Stegostoma tigrinum: one gene and its partners. The protein of the gene in region 3 interacts with the protein of the main gene of each other region in a pairwise test. Links are inferred from orthologs where the notes say so. Each region holds a gene or a part of one and is shown on either strand. Other genes may lie near its edges.

What was found.
Region 1: the proteins of YTH domain-containing family protein 1-like (region 3) and prrc2b interact in a two-hybrid assay, tested with the Homo sapiens proteins (2 studies listed by BioGRID, with this or other methods). The link is inferred for Stegostoma tigrinum from reciprocal best matches to the Homo sapiens genes YTHDF1 and PRRC2B.
Region 2: the proteins of YTH domain-containing family protein 1-like (region 3) and dhx30 interact in a two-hybrid assay, tested with the Homo sapiens proteins (2 studies listed by BioGRID, with this or other methods). The link is inferred for Stegostoma tigrinum from reciprocal best matches to the Homo sapiens genes YTHDF1 and DHX30.

The regions. Positions count from the first base shown.
Region 1 is NC_081382.1:40,890,870-40,898,540, reverse strand, and holds the start of prrc2b (protein PRRC2B), read left to right. Parts: upstream 1-4,619; 5' UTR 4,620-4,764; intron 4,765-7,671.
Region 2 is NC_081358.1:94,689,176-94,696,098, forward strand, and holds the start of dhx30 (ATP-dependent RNA helicase DHX30), read left to right. Parts: upstream 1-3,920; 5' UTR 3,921-3,929; coding exon 3,930-4,194; intron 4,195-5,685; coding exon 5,686-5,813; intron 5,814-6,923.
Region 3 is NC_081372.1:29,717,814-29,724,906, reverse strand, and holds the start of YTH domain-containing family protein 1-like, read right to left. Parts: upstream 3,048-7,093; 5' UTR 2,836-3,047; coding exon 2,809-2,835; intron 2,594-2,808; coding exon 2,569-2,593; intron 1,947-2,568; coding exon 1,867-1,946; intron 1-1,866.

The DNA of each region.
Region 1 (7,671 bases), on a different chromosome or scaffold from region 3:
AGGCTGGAGAATCTGAGATAACAAGGTGTGGAGCTGGATGGACACAGCAGGCCAAGCAGCATCTTAGGAGCAGGAAGGCTGACCCAGACCCTTCTTCCTGCTCCTCTGTGATCATCCAGCTCTACACCATGTTAAAACAGCTTCAAACTGTTTCCTCACAGTGATAATGGGGACTGCAGATGCTGGAGATTCCAAGATAATAAAATGTGAGGCTGGATGAACACAGCAGGCCAAGCAGCATCTCAGGAGCACAAAAGCTGACGTTTCGGGCCTAGACCCTTCATCAGAGAGGGGGATGGGGGGAGGGAACTGGAATAAATAGGGAGAGAGGGGGAGGCGGACCGAAGATGGAGAGTGAAGAAGATAGGTGGAGAGAGTGTAGGTGGGGAGGTAGGGAGGGGATAGGTCAGTCCAGGGAAGACGGACAGGTCAAGGAGGTGGGATGAGGTTAGTAGGTAGCGGGGGGTGCGGCTTGGGGTGGGAGGAAGGGATGGGTGAGAGGAAGAACCGGTTCTTCCTCTCACCCATCCCTTCCTCCCACCCCAAGCCGCACCCCCCGCTACCTACTAACCTCATCCCACCTCCTTGACCTGTCCGTCTTCCCTGGACTGACCTATCCCCTCCCTACCTCCCCACCTACACTCTCTCCACCTATCTTCTTCACTCTCCATCTTCGGTCCGCCTCCCCCTCTCTCCCTATTTATTCCAGTTCCCTCCCCCCATCCCCCTCTCTGATGAAGGGTCTAGGCCCGAAACGTCAGCTTTTGTGCTCCTGAGATGCTGCTTGGCCTGCTGTGTTCATCCAGCCTCACATTTTATTATCTTGTTTCCTCACAGTGTTTGTTACAGAGATTCACTCCAAGGAAATTGTATCCCTATTTCAACTCTGTAGGGTTCTACATAACTGACTTCTGACTGCTTCTTTGCTATGGGGCTGTGAGGACAATTTAATGAGTCATTTCCAGACATCAACTTTTCACACATCTACAGCCAAAACTGTCTCAGTTCTGAGAACCAGTAGATTTCTGAACAAATGCTCTTAGCTTGGATGGTTCACAATCCAAACTCTTCCATCAAGATTACATGTTCTGTGAACTATCCTTTCAGGAGCAAAACTAAAACAAGCTTCCAGACGTATTGCTGGTGTCCTTCAAATGGAACTGAAAAACTTGCTTCTGACATTTTTTTTGGAAAAAGGGCTTTCTCGCCTGAACCAGGAGCAAATTCTATTTGTAAATCTGATTGTAAACCAGACAATATAAACATATTTCCGTTTAATGCAATTTGGGGATTCGATGGATGAGCAGGGATGTTTAAAGCATTGGGAATGTCGATAATCAGAGGTTTGTTACGGTCCATCATACCTGCACTGGCTCTCTGAGCACCAGGACCTAGGCCCAGTCTCCTGCTTTCCCCTTGATGTTTCTATGGAAATAACAATCCAATGCCCCTCTTGAATACCTCAAAAGAACCTGTCTCCATCACATTTTCAGGCAGTGCATTCCATAAGACCATAAGACATAGGAGTGGAAGTAAGGCCATTCAGCCCATCGAATCCACTCTGCCATTTAATCATGGCTGACGGGCATTTCAACTCCACTTCCCTACACTCTCCCCGTAGCCCTTAATTCCCTGCGAGGTCAAGAATTTATCAATCTCTGCCTTGAAGACATCCAACGTCCTTTCCTCCACTGCACTCTGCGGCAATGAATTCCACAGGCCCACCACTCTCTGGCTGAAGAAATGTCGTCTCATTTCATTTTTAAATTTACCCTCTCTAATTTTAAGGCTGTGCCCATGGGTCCTAGTCTCCCCGCCTAATGGAAACAACTTCCCAGCGTCCTTCCCTTCTAAACCATACATTATCTTGTAAGTTTCTATTAGATCTCCCCTCAACCTTCTAAACCATACATTATCTTGTAAGTTTCTATTAGATCTCCCCTTAACCTTCTAAACTCTAATGAGTACAATCCCAGGATCCTTAGCCGTTCATCATACGTTAAACCTACCATTCCAGGGACCATCCGTGTGAATCTCTGCTGGACACGCTCCAGGGCTAGTACGTCCTTCCTGAGGTGTGGGGCCCAAAATTGGACACAGTATTCTAAATGGGGTCTAATTCCGGGCCCAAACTACTTTCTTTGGTTCAATCCTGGGATGTACGGTGTTAACGGGGCCAGCATTTATGCCTAACCCTAATTATGAAGAGCCATCCACACTGCTGTGGGTCTGGAGTCACGTGTAAGCCCAGACCAGATAAGAATGCCAGACTTCCTTCCCTAAAGGGGCATTAGCGAACAAGATGGGGTTTTCTGACAATCAACAATGGTGATAGCCATCAACAGTTTCATAGTCGTCATTAACCCCCTAATTCCACATTTTTACTGAACTTGTATCCCACCATGGGGGATTCAGATCTGCCTGCCAGGGTCTCTACTTTAATAGTCTACTGATAATAGCATTTGGCCATCACCTCTCTACTTCAAATCATAGAAGGCCTATAGTGCAAAAGCAGAACATTCTGCCCAGTGAGTCCACACTGACCCTCCAGAAAGCATCCCACCCCACCCATTCCTGTTACCTTGCATTTCCACGGACTATCCACCTAGCCTGCTCACCTTTGGACTGTTGCCATTTGTACTTAATGTGGACAAATGCATTATTTCTTCACTGCAATAATTACCACTCCCTTTGCGTTTTGATGTCTTTTAGCCTTTCCTGCCCTCTAAGATATCCCTTTTCTCCTAACTCAAGCTGACCTATCCCCCTTTTCTCAACAGTGTTAAAATTAACTCATTACAATTCTAGCTTCCTTCAGTTCTGAACAGTCATAGTGGGGCTTGAAACATTAACTTTGTTTCTCTGTTCGCAGATTCTGCCTGCGTTGCATTGCCAGTGCACTGTTTTAATTTCACTCTTACTGAGTAAAAGAGCTTTTCTGATTTCACATTTACTTCTTGTGCAGAACCTCTGTAATCCATGGTGTCTGGTTCTCGACCTGTTTATGAGGGGGACCAGCTCGTACCTATCCCCTCTGTCCAGACCATTCACAATTTTGCAAAGTTCTATTAAATCTCCTCTTAGCTTTCTCCTCTCCGAGGAAAATCTCCAATCTTTCCTCATCCCTGGAATCATTTCCATAAACCCCCTTCTAATCCTCACTCCAATGCATTCTCTTTGAACAAAATTCATTCACAGAATGAGGGTGTCACTGGCCAGGGCAGCATTTATTGCCCCATCCCTAATCACCCAGAGGGCAGTCAAGAGCCAACCACATTGCTGTGGGTCTGGAGTCACATGTAGGCCAGCGTAAGGACCGCTGATTTCTTTCCCTAAAGGACATTAGTGAGCCTGATGTGTTCTTCCAACAATCGGCAATGAATTCATGGTCATTATTTTCAAGCCCTTAACTCCAGAACCAAAAACAGAAATTGCTGGAAAAGCTCAGTGGGTCTGGAGGAAGGGTCACCATCTCCTCACAGATGCTGCCAGATCTCCTCTGTGAGGAGATGGTGACCCTTCCTCCAGACCCACTGAGCTTTTCCAGCAATTTCTGTTTTTGGTTCTGATTTGCATCATCCATAGTTTTTTCGGTTTTTACTTAGTCCTTAATTTCAGACATCTTTTGAAATCTAATCTGCTGTGGCAGGATTCGAACCCGGGTCCCCAGAGCATTTCCTGGGTCTCTGGATTAACTATCCAGTGAAAATACCACCATCGCTCCCCATAATGCTTCTTTTAATGTAATGCCCAGAACTGTAACCAGTATTCCAGCTGAGGGCTGACCGGTGTTTTGTTCTAAATTCAGCGTGGCCTCCTTGTTGTTATACTCTACATAATTGTAGCTTGTCTGTTTTGTTATTAACTCATATCTCCAACCTGACACCTTTATTGACATAGATTCTCTGCTCCTGCACCTCCTTTAAGAATTTTCTTTGTGCCAAAATGCATCATTTCACACTTCTCCAACTTTCAACTCCCACCTAATCATGCACTGCAGCAACTTGTTCTTTTCACAATTTACAACGCTGCCAACTTTTGTGCTCTCCCATAAACTTTTGCATTGTCTTCTCCACACTTGTAACAGTGATAAGGACCTTAGATAACAAAGTGTGAAGCTGGATGAATACAGCAGGCCAAGCAGCATCTCACCTATCTTCTTTTCTCTCCATCTTCGGTCCGCCTCCCCCACTCTCCCTATTTAATTCAGAACCCTCTCTCCATCCCCCTTTTCTGATGAAGGATCGAGGCCCGAAAAGTCAGCTTTTGTGCTCCTGAGATGCTGCTGGGCCTGCTGTGTTCATCCAGCCTCACATTTTATTATCTTGGATTCTCCAGCATCTGCAGTTCCCATTATCAGTGATAAGGACCTTGTCTGAGTTCCTGAAGCTCTACCTCATGCCACCAGGTGGAGCGCCAGCGCAGTTGTTGCTGTGTCACCTCAGGTGGAGAAACGGCGCAGCCTCTGCAGTACCATGTCCGGCAGCCAGGTGGGGCGCCAGCGCAGCGACTGTAGTGCTGTCTCCGACCGCCAGGTGGAACGCCGGCGCTGTAACTGCAGTCCCGCCTCCGGCCGCCAGGTGGGGCGCCGGCGCTGCGCCTCAATCACTGCGGCCGGTTTGAGAGGCCGGAGTCGGTTTTCAGTTTAATCCTTTCGCGTAGGCCCAGGATTCTTTCCTATCCGTCTCCATCGGCCTGCGGATCGGTGTTAGTTCCTTTTTGCTGTGCGAATTGTGTCGGATTAAACCCCGAGAACGAGCCAAGGTCGGTATTTCTGTTGTGAAAAGTCTTTTCTTGTTTCAAATCCCGGGACTTTCGGCTGCTTTGTTCCCGGTGGCATCCGGCCGCCATTTTCTCCCCGATCTCCCTGCGAGAGAAAAATAAATCCCCCTCTCCGTATATCCACCCACTGCCCCCCCCCCCCCTCCGCCGCCTACGGGGCACCCTGCCCCTCCACCCCACCCCACCCCCGGGACACCACACCATCCCAACTCTCCCGACCCCCCCCCCCCCCGGATTACCCTCCCTCACAGGGTTACCCTCAGCCCCCTGGGACCCCCGATACCCCCCCTCCCCCTCCCCAACCCCACCCCCTCGATCTCCCCACCCTCCTCCCCTACCCCCCCCACCCCTCCCCCCTCACCTACCTTCCCCTACCCTCCCCACCTCCCCCACCCCCCCTCCCCTACCCCCCACCCCCCCACCCCTACCCCCCCACCCCTACCCCCCACCCCTACCCCCCACCCCTACCCCTCCACCCCTACCCCTCCACCCCTACCCCCTCCTCCACCCCTCCCCCTCCCCTACCGTCCCCACCCCCCCTCCTCGATCCCCCCCCACCCCCCCTCCTCGATCCCCCCCCACCCCCCCCTCCTCGATCCCCCCCACCCCCCCTCCTCGACCCCCCCCACCCCCCCTCCTCGATCCCCCCCCACCCCCCCTCCTCGATCCCCCTACCCCCCCTCCTCGATCCCCCTACCCCCCCTCCTCGATCCCCCTACCCCCCCTCCTCGATCCCCCTACCCCCCCTCCTCGATCCCCCCTCCTCGATTTCCCCCTCCCCCCTCGATCCCCCCCGTCGATCCCCCCTCCCCACCTCGATCCCCCCTCCCCCCCTCGATCCCCCCTCCCCCCCTCGATCCCCCCTCGATCCCCCCTCCCCCCCTCGATCCCCCCTCCCCCCCTCGATCCCCCCTCCCCCCTCGATCCCCCCCTCCCCCCCCTCGATCACCCCCTCCCCCCCTCGATCCCCCCTCCCCCCCTCGATCCCCCCTCCCCCCCTCGATCCCCCCTCGATCCCCCCCTCCCCCCCTCGATCCCCCCTCCCCCCCTCGATCCCCCCCTCCCCCCCTCGATCCCCCGATCCCCCCCTCGATCCCCCCCTCCCCCCCTCGATCCCCCCCTCCCCCCCTCGATCCCCCCTCCCCCCCTCGATCCCCCCCTCCCCCCCTCGATCCCCCCCTCGATCCCCCCTCCTCCCCCCCTCGATCCCCCCCTCCTCCCCCGATCCCCCCCTCCTCCCCCGATCCCCCCCTCCTCCCCCGATCCCCCCCTCGATCCCCCCTCCCCCCCCTCGATCCCCCCTCCCCCCCTCGATCCCCCCTCCCCCCCTCGATCCCCCCTCCCCCCCTCGATCCCCCCCTCGATCCCCCCTCCCCCCCTCGATCCCCCCGATCCCCCCCTCGATCCCCCCGATCCCCCCCTCGATCCCCTCCCTCGATCCCCTCCCTCGATCCCCCCCCTCGATCCCCCCCCTCCCCGATCCCCCCCTCCCCGATCCCCCCCTCCCCGATCCCCCCCTCCCCGATCCCCCCTCCCCGATCCCCCCTCCCCGATCCCCCCCTCCCCGATCCCCCCCTCCCCAATATCCCCCCCTCCCCGATCCCCCCCTCCCCGATCCCCCCCTCCCCGATCCCCCCCTCCCCGATCCCCCCCTCCCCCACCCCCCCCTCCCCCACCCCCCCCAATATCCCCCCTTCCCCGATCCCCCCCTCCCCGATCCCCCCCCTCCCCCACCCCCCCCAATATCCCCCCCCTCCCCCACCCCCCCCAATATCCCCCCCTTCCCCGATCCCCCCCAATATCCCCCCTTCCCCGATCCCCCCCCAATATCCCCCCTTCCCCGATCCCCCCCCAATATCCCCCCTTCCCCGATCCCCCCCAATATCCCCCCCTCCCCGATCCCCCCCAATATCCCCCCCTCCCCGATCCCCCCCAATATCCCCCCCTCCCCGATCCCCCCCAATATCCCCCCTCCCCGATCCCCCCCAATATCCCCCCTCCCCGATCCCCCCCCAATATCCCCCCTCCCCGATCCCCCCCCAATATCCCCCATCCCCGATCCCCCCAATATCCCCCATCCCTCCCCGATCCCCCCAATATCCTCCATCCCCCAAACCCTCCATCCCCTAACTCCCCAATCCCCTTCATCCCCTTTCCCAGGACCCCGACCACCAATGGATATCATCGCAGACACAGCTGCACCCCCTCCCCAATGCTGCCCAGTACCCCCTTGTCTCCCCATGACATTCCTTCTCTTCACAGATTCGAAACCCCCTCTCATCTCAATTATGTATGTTCCCAACACCCACACCACTGGAAATTGGATATACCAGCCATTTTGGACACTGGACATCCCCTGGTTACTGGAGCCACCAACCTACCCACTTCCATCCCCCCCGCCAAAAAAAAAGTGTGGGCAGCTCCCCTGAATGCAGGACATCAGTACCCCCCTCCCCACTGTTTGGACACTGGATATCTCCCTCCCCTCCATATCCTACCCCTTTTTGAATACTGAACCTGCCCCTGAGTGCTCTCTGGTAACCCTACGTTCCCTTGTGATGCGGTCACTCCTCTGGTTTGGATTCTGGGATTTTGTGGAGTTGTGGGGAGGGTGAGATTCCTGCGTCTGTTTTGTCCATGTTGTGTGTGATGCTGAATTTAAGAATTGTACTGATAGCCAGTCATGAAAGATTTTGTGTCCCCGTCTCTGTTCCCCTGTATTAGTGGTAGGTTAGGAAGGCAGCAAGTTATCCTGTATTGTTTGCAGCTGCAGTAATTTAGCCTGAACCTTTCAGTTGTTGTTATGTCTCTGATAATGTCTGGCTTTTATCCTGATCAGTTCACACCATCCTCCTCAGACTATAAGGAAGCACTGATGTGCCTGATCAA
Region 2 (6,923 bases), on a different chromosome or scaffold from region 3:
CATAAGGTAAGATGTATGAGTGGATGTCAGCTATTTGAACCACCAAGACTGCTCTGCCATTCAACAAGATCATGGCTGATCTGATAATTCTCAACTCCACTTTCCTGCCTTTACTGCATACTCCTTGTTTCCCTTCTTGATTAACTTTTGCATATCTCAGCTTTGAATATACTTAAGAAACTAGCCTTGACAACTTTCTGTAGGAAAGAATTCTACAGATTCTCAGGAAGCGAAGGAATTCTTCGTTATCTGTGTCCTAACTGGGTGACCCCTTCTTCAGAGATTACATCCACTATACCCTTTCCGTCTCAGACAGTGAAAATAACTCTCCATATCTAAACTGTCATGTGTCTAAAAATCTTGAATGTTTCACTAGGGTCACCCCTCATTCTTCGAAGCCCTAAGTACAAGCCAAACCTACTCAAACCCTTCTCATGAGAAAATCCATAGATACCCGCAATTGACCTAGTGACTGACTCCAAAGCCAATATATCATTCCTTAGGTAAGGGGAACAAAAACTATTCGTAATATTATAAGTGTCATTGAAATAGTGTCACACGTAGTTTTAACAAGACTTCCCGATTTTTGTCCTCCATTCCGTTTAAAATAAAGACCAACATTCCATTTACTATCCTTATTACACACTGACATTGTATGCTAGTGTTTTGCGATTTATGCATGAGGATGCCAAATCCTCTTCCAGCAACTTCTGTTTTTGTTTCTGATTAAAGCATCCACAATTCTTTTGGTTTTTAGGTTTTCCACTACCTTCTCAAGGGCAATTTGAGATGAGCAATAAATAGTGACCTTAATAGTTTATAAGAATATATCATGAATATATAAAACAAGGACCGGGACTGATGTCCTTGGGGGACTATTTGCAAGAGTTGTTGGGGAGGCTTTAAACTAAAATAGCATGAGCGAGGAATCAGAGGAGGGAGAATCAAGGACAAGGACAACAAACAGAATGGGGAATAAGAAAAGTGATAGGCAAGAAATCATGGGCCACAATCAAATAGGGGCATATTTAAAAATAATGGAAATGGGACAAGTAATAATAAAAAAGGCCAATTATAATGCTTTGTGTTTCAATGTGTGGAACATTTACAATAAATTGAATGAATCAATCACGCAAATGAATAAAAACAAGTATGATTTAATCAGAATTATGGAGACATGGCTGCAGTGTGACAAGGAATGGGAAGTGAATATCCAGAGGTGTTCAGTAATGAGGAAGGATAGATGAAAAGGAAAAATCAGTAATGTTGCATTGTTGGTTAAAGAGAAAATTAATGCAATAGTGAGGAAGCATAGTAGCTCGATGATACAGAATCTGTGTCATTAGAGCTGAGAAACACCAAAGGGCAAAATCATTAGTGGTGGTTGGATATAAACCCCTGAACTGTAAGGATGATGTTGGGAGTGGCATTAAACAGGACCAGTACATTTTGTTTCCTGTCTGCTAATCAACTGTTAATCCATGCAAGTATATTACAACCAAACTAATGTGCTTTGATCTTGCACAGTAAACTCATACTTGGGACTTTATCGAAAGCCTTCTGAAAATCCAGTACACCAGCACACTGGTTCTTCTTCACCTATTCTGAGACTAATGTCTGCAAAAAATTCCAGGTTGTTTGTCAAATACAATTTTCTCCATACAGCCTTTTTCTTTAAACAGCAATGTTACATTTGCCACAGCCCAATCTGCTAGAACTGTTCAAGAGCTAACCAAGGCCCTTGAGTCCTTCGAAAAAAGTAAAACTCCTAGAAGGGATGGCTTACCAGCTAAGTTGTATTCAGCTTGAAGGACTTGATAGGCCAGCACCCAGTGGAGATGTACAATAGTATGATTCTGGCAGGGAGAATATGTGAATTTAAGAGGAAAGGTATCATCACCCTCATCGACAAGTGGACAGGGGACAGGGAAGAAATTAGAAATTGCCAATCATTGAATATGGATTACAAGATCCTGTCTAAGGTCATTGCCAACTGGGTCAAGTCTGCTCTGGGTTCGGTGATTCACCCTGATCAAACCTGTGCTGTACCAGGAAGGACCACCTCTGGGAGTCACGTGCTCCTCATAAGTATGATCACCTATGTGCAAAGAAGGGCAGTGGGTGCCTTCCTCATCAGCCTGGACCAGGGGAAGGCCTTTGACAGGACATCACACACCAACATGTGGGACATGCTCCCTAAAACAGGTTTTGGACAGCGAATATGAAATTGGATCCAACTGGTCTGCACCAAGCTCTGTAGTGTAGTTTCAGTCAATGGGTGAGAATCAGAAAGCTTCCTGATCAGACCTGGAGTCTGGAAAGGCTGTCCACTCTCTCCTGCTTTCTTTGTGCGCTGTATAGAAGCTTTTGCCAATTCCATCAGGAAGTGTGCGAGAGGGGTGATTTTCCAGGCAGCAGAGGCCTACAGGTCAAAACTGCCCTGTACATGAATTACATCATTGTTTTCTGCTTGGGTCCACTGCGCACAGAATCATGAAAATCTGCAACCAGTTTGAACTGGCCTTGGGAGTCAAGGTAAATCAAGGCAAGAATGAGGTCATGTTCTTTGGGAACTGGGCTGACTGATCCTCTGTCTCCTTCACCATTGTAGGGTTATAATGAAGGCATATGGCGTGTTTACTTTTGTTGGCAGGGGAATTGAGGTTAAGAGCCACGAGGTTATGTATACGAACCACTGTCTGTGTGAAAAGGTTGCTCCTCAGGTCCATTTTAAATCTTCCTCCTCTCAACTTAAATTTATGCTCTGTAGTTTAAAAGTCCCCTCTGCTAGGAAAAAGACCTTCACTATTCATTTTATCTATTCCCAATTAATTTACAAGCCTCTATAAAGGTCACTCCTCAATCTGTTAGGGCACATTTGGAATATTGTGGTCAGTTCTGTTCACTACATGACGGAAGGATGTGGAAGCTTTGCAAAGCATACAGAAACAATCTTCCAGGATGTTGCCTGCTTTGGAGGATATTTGCTATAAGGAGAGATTGGACAAACTTGATTTGTTTTCACTTGAATGTCGAAGGATGAGTTGCAACCTTTTGGAAGTTTACAAAATTATGTGAGGCATGGAGAGACTGGTCAGAGTTTTATTCCTAGGGTAGGAATGTCAATTATTAGGGAGCACAGGTTTAAGGTACCAGGCAATAAGCTTAAAGGAGATGATAGAGGCAGGTTTTTGTTGACACAGATGGTGATAAGTGACTGGAATGTGCTGTTCCAGGAGGTGGTGGAGGCGGATACAGTAGCAACGTTTAAGAAGCATCTTGACAAATATGTGGGATATCAAGGTGGAGAGCTGGATGAACATAGCCGGCCAAGCAGTATCAGAGGAGAGCTGACGTTTCGGGTCCAGACCCTTCTTCAGAAAACAGTGAATAGGCTGAGAACAGAGGGATACGGACAGTGTAGAGGCAAAAGGTTTTTAGTTTAGAAAGGCATCAAGCGTCTGCAAAGTCTGTTCTTGCTTGTTCCAAAAAGGGAACTTGAAAAGGAGCAACGGACAGGATTACAGGGAGAAGGCAAGATGATTGCACTGGGTGAGACCTCACGGATACAGTGAACCGAGTGGTTTCCTTCCGTGCTCTAAGAATTCTGCAAAATTACTTTTGTACTTTGAAGTGATGGAAGGATTCAAACTACTTATTCGACTGACACTCCTTCCATTGACAGAACAATTGTTACTGCAGCAAATAGAGTGCACACCACCCTATTAAGAGCAGTAGAGAACTTTCAAGAGCTCTCACAATCCTACCGCATTAACCATCGCCTAGTACTCGATTCTGCCGCCAGAGGCAGCGCTGGGCTCATTGTCGGAGTTCCTGACTTTTTTTTGTAAACGGTCCATCTTGCGCATTGTTCCGGTCTCTCCGCGAAGTTCTGGAGCCGGCCTGAGGAACCAGCCCGTGTTTCCAAGATGGCGGTGTACGCAGGTGGGATGTCGCGGCTGCTGTGTTTCTTGTTGAGGAGGTTGTGCCCGCGAAGGCAGCCCAGCACCGGAGCCCGGGGACCGCCGGCGCCTCTGGCTTGGCACTCGGAGTGGGAGTGCGGCCCCATATGGATGACAGCGGCCATGAGCCGGTTCAGGCACACGACGAGTCGGCGGCAGCAGCAGGTCACGCCGCGGGGAGAGGAGGGAATGTCGGAGCCGCCGCTGCCAACTGGAGCGAGCGGTCAGCAAGGTGCGGGCTACTGACTCCTCCGGGGGACACACTTCAACCTTGCAGTATTTGTTGTGTATATAAGCACACGCATGTTACAAAGTACTTACACAGTGTATTGAAAGACCAACGACAAAAATATAAATACTCAAAACTACCCATCAAGTATTGGGATATAGAAACAAAATGCAGTTGCGCACAAATATTCAACTAAATTCAGTAGTTTGCTGAAAAAGAGATTAAAGTGATTCATTTTTGGGGGGTTCGTGACCACAGTTCTCTGAGATCTGCCACCTAGTTGGATAGAGTTGTTAAGAAGGTGTATGGTGTGTTAGCTTTCATTAATAGAGGACTCGAGTTCAAAGGCCATGAAGTTATGCTCCAGCCGTACAGCACCCTGGTTCGGCCACATCTGGAGTATTGTGTCCGGTTCTGGTCACCTCATTACAGGAAAGATGTGAAGGCGTTGAAAAAGCTGCAGAGGAGATTTACTAAGATGTTGCCTGAAATAGAGGGAAGGTCTTAACGAGGAACGGTTGAGAGTGCTAGGGCTTTTCTCTTTAGAACGACGAAGGATGAGAGGTGACTTGATAAGAGGTGTATAAAATCATCAAAGGTCTAGATAGAGTAGACAGCCAGAGGCGTTTTGCTAGGGTGGAGGTAGCTATTACGAAGGGGCATAATTTTAAAGTGAGTGGAGGTAGATATGGGAGATTCAGAGGTAGGTTCTTTACTTGGAGAGTGATAGGGGTGTGAAATGCATTGCCAGAGCAGGTAGTGGAGTCAGTCTCATTAGGGACAGTTAAGTGGCTATTAGATAGGCATATGGATGATAGTATATGGTGAGGGTGGAGGTTAGATAGATATTAAGTTTAGGATAAAAGTTCAGCGTAACATCGTGGCCGGAAGGACCTGTACAGCGATGTACTGATCTATGCTCTGTGTTCTGTTTTGGTAGAAAGAAATGAGGAAAGGGCATATAGCCAATGAGGAATAGAGATGGATGTGTTTGTGTACAAATTTGTGAAGTTGGCAGGACAAGTTCAGTTTAGCACTTTAGCCAATAAGTTGAGGCATTGAAAATAAAAGCAAGGAATGCATGTAAAACTTTCAACATTTGCTAGGTAGGCTGCAGTTGACGTGCGTATTGTGTACCATATTAAATTCTTGACCTGAATGTTTGGTGCATAGAAGCAAGAATTGAAAATCTGTTGTGTACATATGTTTGATTTCCTTTGTTCTCCATTCTGTGCTGAGCCAACTAATCTTCACTGTGATCTGTCAAATTGTAATTGATTGTCTTGTGATTGGAGTGGAATGACGAAGAAAGGAAGAAGTCTACAAAAAAAATCTGTGATCACACTTTACATAATCGTCCTTGAATGATGGTGTCCAGTGATCTCCAATGCAGAAAATTGACATCTTGTGGGGAAAAGACAAAGAATTGGTTTTCCAAGCATTAACTCGGTGATGATGGCTGGCATACTGAATTCACCGAAAATGTTTGTTTAGACTTACAGGCCCTTCTTCAAGAGTTTCCACAGCCTAAGAACCTGCTGGTTCAGGTCATGCAGCGAGCTCTGAAGGCTTCTAATGTAAATGATCGCATTGTCTACAAATCATTTGATGGATACATTAAAGTAAGTGGTTATCAATGTTTATTTTTCAATCTAATTTGGTTAAATTACTGTTGGCCAGTTTGGTCTTGACACTTCAGTGTGGAGAGGACAGTTCGGTAGGCTCCCTGATTCCACACCCCCAGTTGTGTAGTCATATCACCTGCAAGAAAGTATTGGATTAGCAAACTTCAAATCTTCAGTAATATTCCAGAGAAATTTCAAATCCCACTATGGCAGGTTTAGAATTTTCATTCAGTCTAAACAAATTCTGGAATTGAAAAGCTATTAGTGACCACGGAACTTTCAGAGTGCCCTAAAATTGGTTCATCTTAATGTTCTTCAAAAAAAAACCTGCTGACCTCACCTGGTTTAGTCCTTGCATGATTGCAGTTCAATACCATCAGGCCTGCCTTTTAACTTTGAAGTGGTCAAGCAAAGTAGCTTGGGATGGCAAATGAATGTTGCCTTGATAGTGGGATGGCCACATTCTGATACTGAATAACATAAGAGAGAAAGACAGACTTGATTCTTTCACGACACGATCTACAAAGAATCTGTTGGAATCTTTGAAGTGTGCCCAAGTCAACTCTTGCAGAATTTTGAATTAATCCCACCTCTTGTTCTTTTCACCATAACCCTGAAAAGTATTCTTCCAGTATGTGTTCATTTTCCTTTAGAAATTAATATTGAATCTAGTTTCTCCATTCTCCCAAGAGAACTCTTTCATCATTCTCAGATGGCAGGTTTCAAACTGAGGATTGAATGATAGGTGTGGTATTCATTTCTTCAGGGTGCTCTACTATTGGTGCATCACCTCTCTTCATCCCCTTCCTTAGATTGCTGGATAGATTATAATGCTGGTTGAATGGACAATGTTCAGGGTTTGAGTGAAGATTTGCAGCTTGAGTGCTGGTTGTAGATGTGTTCGCTGATTTGGGAGGTTTGATAGCAGACTTTTTGTGAAGAAGGCTCCACAGCACTGAGAATGTCACCTAATAAGGGGACAAAATGTCTGCTATCAAACTTCCCAGCTCGGAGAACACACCAACATCTGTGAATGGACAACATTCTAATAGAAGCCTCTAACCAATACTGACAATTGTTTATGTACTTTGAAATGAAGTTGAGGAC
Region 3 (7,093 bases):
TGCTGATTGCTGTTTTGAATAAAAATCACCTTACTAACCTGTGTTCAGTAAAGTTGATGACTTGTGTATCAGCACCAAAATATTTCAACTTCACCTGTCTATTTTCCAACAAGTCTATGACATCCTTGGGCTTTACAGCAAATGCACTAGGTTTTTTTGTTTGAGTTATAGTTTATAGTAAAATTTTCATTCAGAATTAAACTGTTCAAGAGCCTCAAGTCTATTTTGCCCTAATATTCAGCAGTTTAGCACATGCTTAAATAATTTTAAACAACCGTGGATTTTTGAGAGATGTAGGTTAAACAAACATTTGTTTAAATACCTTACCACTTTTAGTTAACTTTACAACATTAGGAAAAAGCAACATGAAACACTGCTTAGAACATTTGATTTAAGTAACAAGTATTTTAGACATAGCCAACTTAGGTTTGAATATTCAAAGTGTATTTCCTAAAATAATCACAAAAATTAAATGTAAACTTAATTCAAACAAACAGTCATATTAAAAATAACAGATTTATTGCTGACAGCAGTTCCTCCAATGGCATAGAAAATCAGAGAGAAGCTGTCATATCAAGCAGAAAAATCCCAATTTGATACTTAATCTAGGCTGAGCTATCTGATCAGTGACAATACAAAAGCAAGAAATAGACCTCAGTGCATCTGGGATAGGAAGTGGGGAGAGAAAAATCAAGGCTCACAAATCTAATCTCTGAACTTTCAATTACTAGCAACGTACGTTGCAATGAGGACAGGACTGAGACAGGCCGAGATTCCCCTGCATCAGATAACTTGCCAAAATCTTAGACAAGCTCAAATACAAATTCTTGTTACTTAAATAAAAAGCAAATAGGAGAAAACAACAACAGACAGTGAGCAAAAACTTTTTTTTGGTGCTCAGACACATGTTTTCCTATTCAATTAAAGGATACAACTTGAGATTTTTTTTATTCCGTACCCTTGAACTAATACGGCAATGTATACTATCTCTGAAACTAATAACTGAAATTTGATAGTGTGCTCAAGTCTACATATAACCAAAAGGCTAACTTGGGATTGTCAAATTTTGCCCACACCTTGCAATTAATGCAATATTGAGATTGACAGCAACAGCACACTTGTACACAGCAAGTCCCTTCATTGGGCAGAAAATTCTTTTGCAACTACATCTGGTGCAGAGATCAGCAACTTTCAATGATTCACAAGCAAAAGCAAGTGTCAAACCAGTTTTGTTTTCATTCAAGCTTATGTTCATATATAACATGATCAATGATAGTATGTTATGAATCAAACTAGATAAACGAAAGAAAAAATTATTTCAAGGAGTGATCCACCTTTCAGACATTAAACACGCATTTACTTAAACAAAATATTTGGCAGAAAATGCTCCCAACATAAAATCCAGGGAATTGATTCCACAAAGTTGATTAAATTGCCCCACAAAACATACAACTGATTGTATAAAGTCCTTTAAAATGAAAGGCTGTGGGCATAATGTCATGAAGAGAGATACAATAATTGTTACAAAATCAAGATTTTGAAGCTGGTGTGCTTGTGTAATTTAACCTGTGCCATCAATATTAACATCACACATTCCCAAGCACCTAAAAACATTTATCCTACCAAAGTAACTACTTCACATTTCTTTCTAAGCCTGCTGCTACAAAATCCATAAAACGGCACAAGTTCTCTAGCTTGAATGCCCTTTTACAATGTACAATATGTATATTATATGCAATTTGCCAACTTATCATTCAAGCATCCAAAGAATGAAAAGTTAATACTTATGGTTTTCCAACTAACTAGCAGGTTTGCCGGATTATGCTGAGCTAGAGGATCTTAAGATAAAATAGGTATTTAACTCACCTGATTGGACTGGCTGCTTAAGTATGGCTCAAAATCATTGTCGTGCACTGTATCCTTTTGATGCAATGAACCATTTTGCACTGTAATGTAAAACATTCTTGTAAATATCCATACAAGTCAAGTCCTACAAATATTCAAAAGTTGTAATAAAACTGTGGCAAAAACAAAGAAAATTATACACGTATATAGAGAATCAAGATCTGAAAACGGAAAACAAGAGTAGTAAATATCGAACGGCAGACGCATTTCTAACATTTTCTGTTTCCAAAAGTTGCATTTTGTTAAATTTCAGATGACTGTACTCTTGTTAAACAGGGAAAGAAAGAAACTTGTGTTTATACAAACGAATAACAATAAACTCTCTTCACAATTGCTTTTCTGGACAAAAGGAGGGACGTTCAAAGGAGAAACATCTGACGTTTCCTTAGTACAAGTCATCATAAAGCGGGAGGAGGCCGATCCCACGACGAGAGGGGAAACTTGGCCTTAACTCCCAACTTTTATCGGGCATTTACGCCACATTTAGTCCTTATGTTGCCGCCGACCCCAAATCACCGAGGCATAGCCAGGACGGGGAAAGGGAAGGATAGGCGATACCTCCCGAGTGGGACGCAGCAGATAAAATAAAAGCCATTCATGGCAACTTTCCACGTTATTTAAGGCATCTGCAGCAGCCCCGGGGCCTCCAGGCCAGCACTTTACCTTTATTCTCTTGTCCTTTCGCTCTCTGATTAGGGGCCACCACCGGACGGACATAGCAACACACGGGAAGCAAATTAAATAAAAGAGAAAGAAGTGTTAAGGCACCTCGGTAAATAGTAGAACGAAGCCCGCGGCTCAGCCCCCCCTCCCCCCAGTGAAGCAGCGAGAGGAGGAGTGTGTGTTGGGGGGGGGGGGGGGTAGAACACAACAAAGACCCAGCCGCTTCCGAGCCCTACCTACCTGAGGGTCAACGCTTGTCGCAGACATTCTTCATTAATCGCCACTTGCACCAGGCTCGGATTCCGAAAGGGGCTCTCGGAGTGCGGGGTGTCGGGGGCGGGCTAAGTAGCTTAAAGGCCGCAGTTTCTACCCACCCACCCCCCTCTTCAACTTAGCTTCCTCGCTCGGCTTTCTCAGGCGTTTAACCCAATGGCGACCATACTCTGATCCGATGACGTAGTACGCATTCGGCGCAGTGACGTCGCCGGGTCCGCTCCAAATGATGACGGATGCGCGCGCACCCTCCTCCTCCTGAGTCCGGGGTGGTGAAATGTTCGGTAATCTGGTAGAGTTATCTCTCTGCCCTGTTTAGCTAGCGCCTTAGTCTCGAGTACTGCCGCATTGAAAATGGTCGCCAGAGTATTTAGCCACACGAAGTTCTGCCTCTGTTTTGATTGTGAGTTATGTGTAAAGTGGATGCTAAGATTTTAACCAGGATCGTCGGGTTGGGGAGGACCAGGAAAGGCGGATGCTGCTCTAACCCGCGGACGTTTCGCTACTTAATGTTTATTTCATTGCTGTGCGAAACTCTGAGCACGATTTCAGACTGCTGCAAATAGGTGCAACTTGAGACCGACTGGAGTTTTTTTTTTCTTGAGTCGAAATTCGTGGGATGACCGTAGCTCGACACTTCTGACCACGGCCTAATACTCGGCCTCCTCGTTTTGGAACACCTGTTCCTCGCAGCCTGTAGTGTCTTTACGCCCTCTGGTTTACGTGTTCGGAGTAATAATAGACCGGCACATCTGTTGATCATTTGTAAACTGCTTGAGTTATTTCTATGCCTTGTGTTTCCATTCCGCAACAAGTGATTAAGGGTCATCTCAGAATTTATTTTATAATTGTGCTGTTGAGCAGACAGACTTAGTATGTTTGCATTTATGTAGTACATTTAAATATCCTCAAGATATAGCAAAGTGCTTCGTTGTTAGTGAGCTGCTTTTGAACTGTGGTTTTATTCGTACCGCAAGGACGAATAGCGTCTAGTTTATGTACAAGGTCCTACAAGAAACAATGAAATGAATAATTTTATAAACGTTGTTAAGAATGCGAGATAAACCTCCTTGCCCTTGTAAAGTAATGCCATTATACTTTTCATATCGAGCTGAAAGGGCAAAATGAGTCTCAGTCTGACAATTTATTTGAAGGTAGTACTTCCTGCAACAACACTGCATTCCCTCTATTACAATGCAAGGGAACTGAAGTGGAACTCTAATCAATATGTCTGACTTGGGCAAGAATTTAGGAAGAGAACAAGTCATCTTTTTTATTGAAAACAAAGCTGTCAAAACTACGATAACAAATCATTCTTTTGTAGATGACCTTTTAATGTGCAATATTTGTATTACTTACTGAATACTGGACTGTTAGTGTACCTCATCTCCTGTGGCAATTTCACTTTGCTCAATGCAACTCTGCTAAAAAGATTCTCCTCTGTTCATCTTTTCTGATTGCAAAGATTTATTAGGATTTCATAAAACCTCCCTCAAAAAAGAAATAAGCTGTTGTAAACCAATTCATTGCAAACCCTGAAAATCTAAAATTAAAAATACCAGAAAAGCTAAGCAAATCTGACAACATCTGTGGAGAAAACAACAGAGCTACGTTTTTGAGTTGGTGAACTTTGTTCTGATGAAATGTTATCTATTAATCTGAATTAATAACTTCTTCCATCTCTAGAGACTGGCTGAGCATTTCCAGCATGTTTTTTTAATATCTCTAGTTAACCTAATTATCAGCCTCTATCTGAGATAATAAAGTGTAAAACTGGATGAACACAGCAGGCCAAGCAGCATCTCAGGAGCTCCTGAGATGCTGCTTGGCCTGCTGTGTTCGTCCAGCTTTACAGTTTATTATCTCGGATTCTCCAGAATCTGCAGTTCCCATTATCTCTGATACAATTTCAGCCTCTATCCAAACTGTGTTAATCTCCCATTCAAACCTGTTTGCTGAAATTCAAATGTGAAATAAAGCTAGACTGGGTCATTGCTGAAGGTGCCTTTTTAAACTCTTTGGAATATCTTTGTTTAAATGAAAGGCACAGCTATGGGATCAAAACAAGTAAGAATTGTTTCATTCTTGTCCCTTAAATTTCTAACAAGTTAAATCTCTAGAATGCTCCTTAACAGCCAAGTTGATCATGAGTGCAACTCCAGTTACAGTCATTTATATTGCAATATTTTCATAGCCTAATCAAAAACATGCAAAGAACAAGTAATAAAATAGATCGTAAAATTAAAGGAAATCAAAGATTTAGATATTAGTTTCCACTTTCCTGATCTTTGTTTACATACGTCCACCTTGCCCATCTCACTTTCCATCATCAGTCAAAGACCCTTCAGCCATTTAATGTTCTAAAGAATAGTTGAGTCTTAGAATATAGACAGTAGAGTTTGGATTGGCTAACATTTATCAAGAGCGGAAGATGAGAAACTGGCCAAGAGTATGTTAGAATGGTCAAGTCTAAAGGAGATAAAGGCATGGGATGGTGATTTCAACTGCATTACAATTGAAACAGTGTTGGAGTTCACAGTATTACGGAGTTGGCTTTTGTGGTGGAGCATTTATGTGGTTGAATTGACTGTTTTTGAAAATTTCAAACTGTTCAGTTCGGCCTCAAACCATTGGCAGGAAGAAAGAATCCCTGAGTACAGACTTGAGTTTTGCTAAATAGAGTGACATGTTACCAAAGCTTTTTGTATTGCACTCATCAGGGCAAACAGCACAAATTTCAAACTGTTGCAGTATACAGTACAAGAGAAAAAGCTACAAATTGACCTGATTAGTCAAGGTGTCACCAAGTAGGAAGGAATGGAGAACTGCAGGATCTCCAAACCCCTTGATAATTTAAATTGAATTTGTGGTAGGGCCCAAAGGCAGTTTTTCCAATATTTGCAACAGTGGAGAGGTAATAAATTGTTGTATTGTCGATGGACTACTAATCCGGCGACTCAGATAATGACCTGAAGACCTAGTTTGGAGTTCCAACATGGCAAATTAATTTGAATTCAAAAACAAAATCTGAGCAAAATGCCTAATGACGGCTATAAAAACCCATCAGGTTCACTAATGCCCCATACCTCATCTGGTCTACATGTGACTTCAGACCTAAAGCAATGTGGTTTCCTCTTAATATCTCTGAAATGGCCTAGTAAACTTCTCAGTTGTATTCAACTACTCCAAACTCTTTTTTAAAAAAATGACTGTGGACCGACTGCCTGGTATTGATCTAGACGTTAGAAATGACAATGGGAAATTCAGCCTTCTGACCCTGCAAAGTGTCTTTAATAGCAGCTGAGGACTAGTGTCAAAATTAGAAGAGCTCTATCTCAGATAACTCAAGCAAAGCTTGATATAGTCATTCGCACAGAATCATACTTTGCAGACAATATGGCAGTCAATGCCATCACTTCATGGCTATATCCTGTTCCTGCAAGACATTCTAGCAGAGGTAGCAGGAGAGTGGTATAGAGTTGAAGGAAGTTTCCCTGGGTGCCTGCAATATTTATTCTGAACCCCAGGGAGATTCTTAGTATCAGGTCAGACGTGGAAAAGGACACCACTTAGTGATGACCATGCACTCTTTCCCCTGAAGAATTGGTGCTTCTCCATGTTGAGTGTCACTTGGAGAAGGCAATGAGAGTAGAAAGGGTGCAGAATGTACTCTCGGTGGGAAACATCAATGTTCATCGCCAAAAGTGGCTTGGCAGCACCACATCTGCCTGAACTGGTCAAGTCCCAAAGGACAGTGCCATCTGACCTAATCTGGTTCAAGGTGGTGAAGGGACCAAAAAGTGGTAAAAAACATACTTGATGTCATCTTCACCATTTTTTCATTAATGGAATGAGGACATTGCTGGCTGGGCAGCATTTATTTCTCATCCTGAATCACCAAGGGGGCAATTTAGAGTCAACTTCATTGCTGTGGGTCTGGAGTCACATGTAGGCCAGACCAGGTAAGGGTGTTCCCTTTCCTAAAGGACATTAGTGAACCAGGTGGGTTTTCCCCCTGACAATCAGCAATGGATTCATGGTCATTAGACTCTTAATTCCAGATATTTTCTTGAACTCAAATTCCACCATCTGCCATAGTGGGATTCAAACCTAGGTCCCCAGATCAACTGTCCAGCAATAATACCACTAGGCCATTGCCTCCCCTTCATGATGCAAATCCGTTGGTCCAAGACAGTATTGGACAACATAGCCCTTATGGAGATGAGGTTCTCTCATCACATTGAGGGTACCT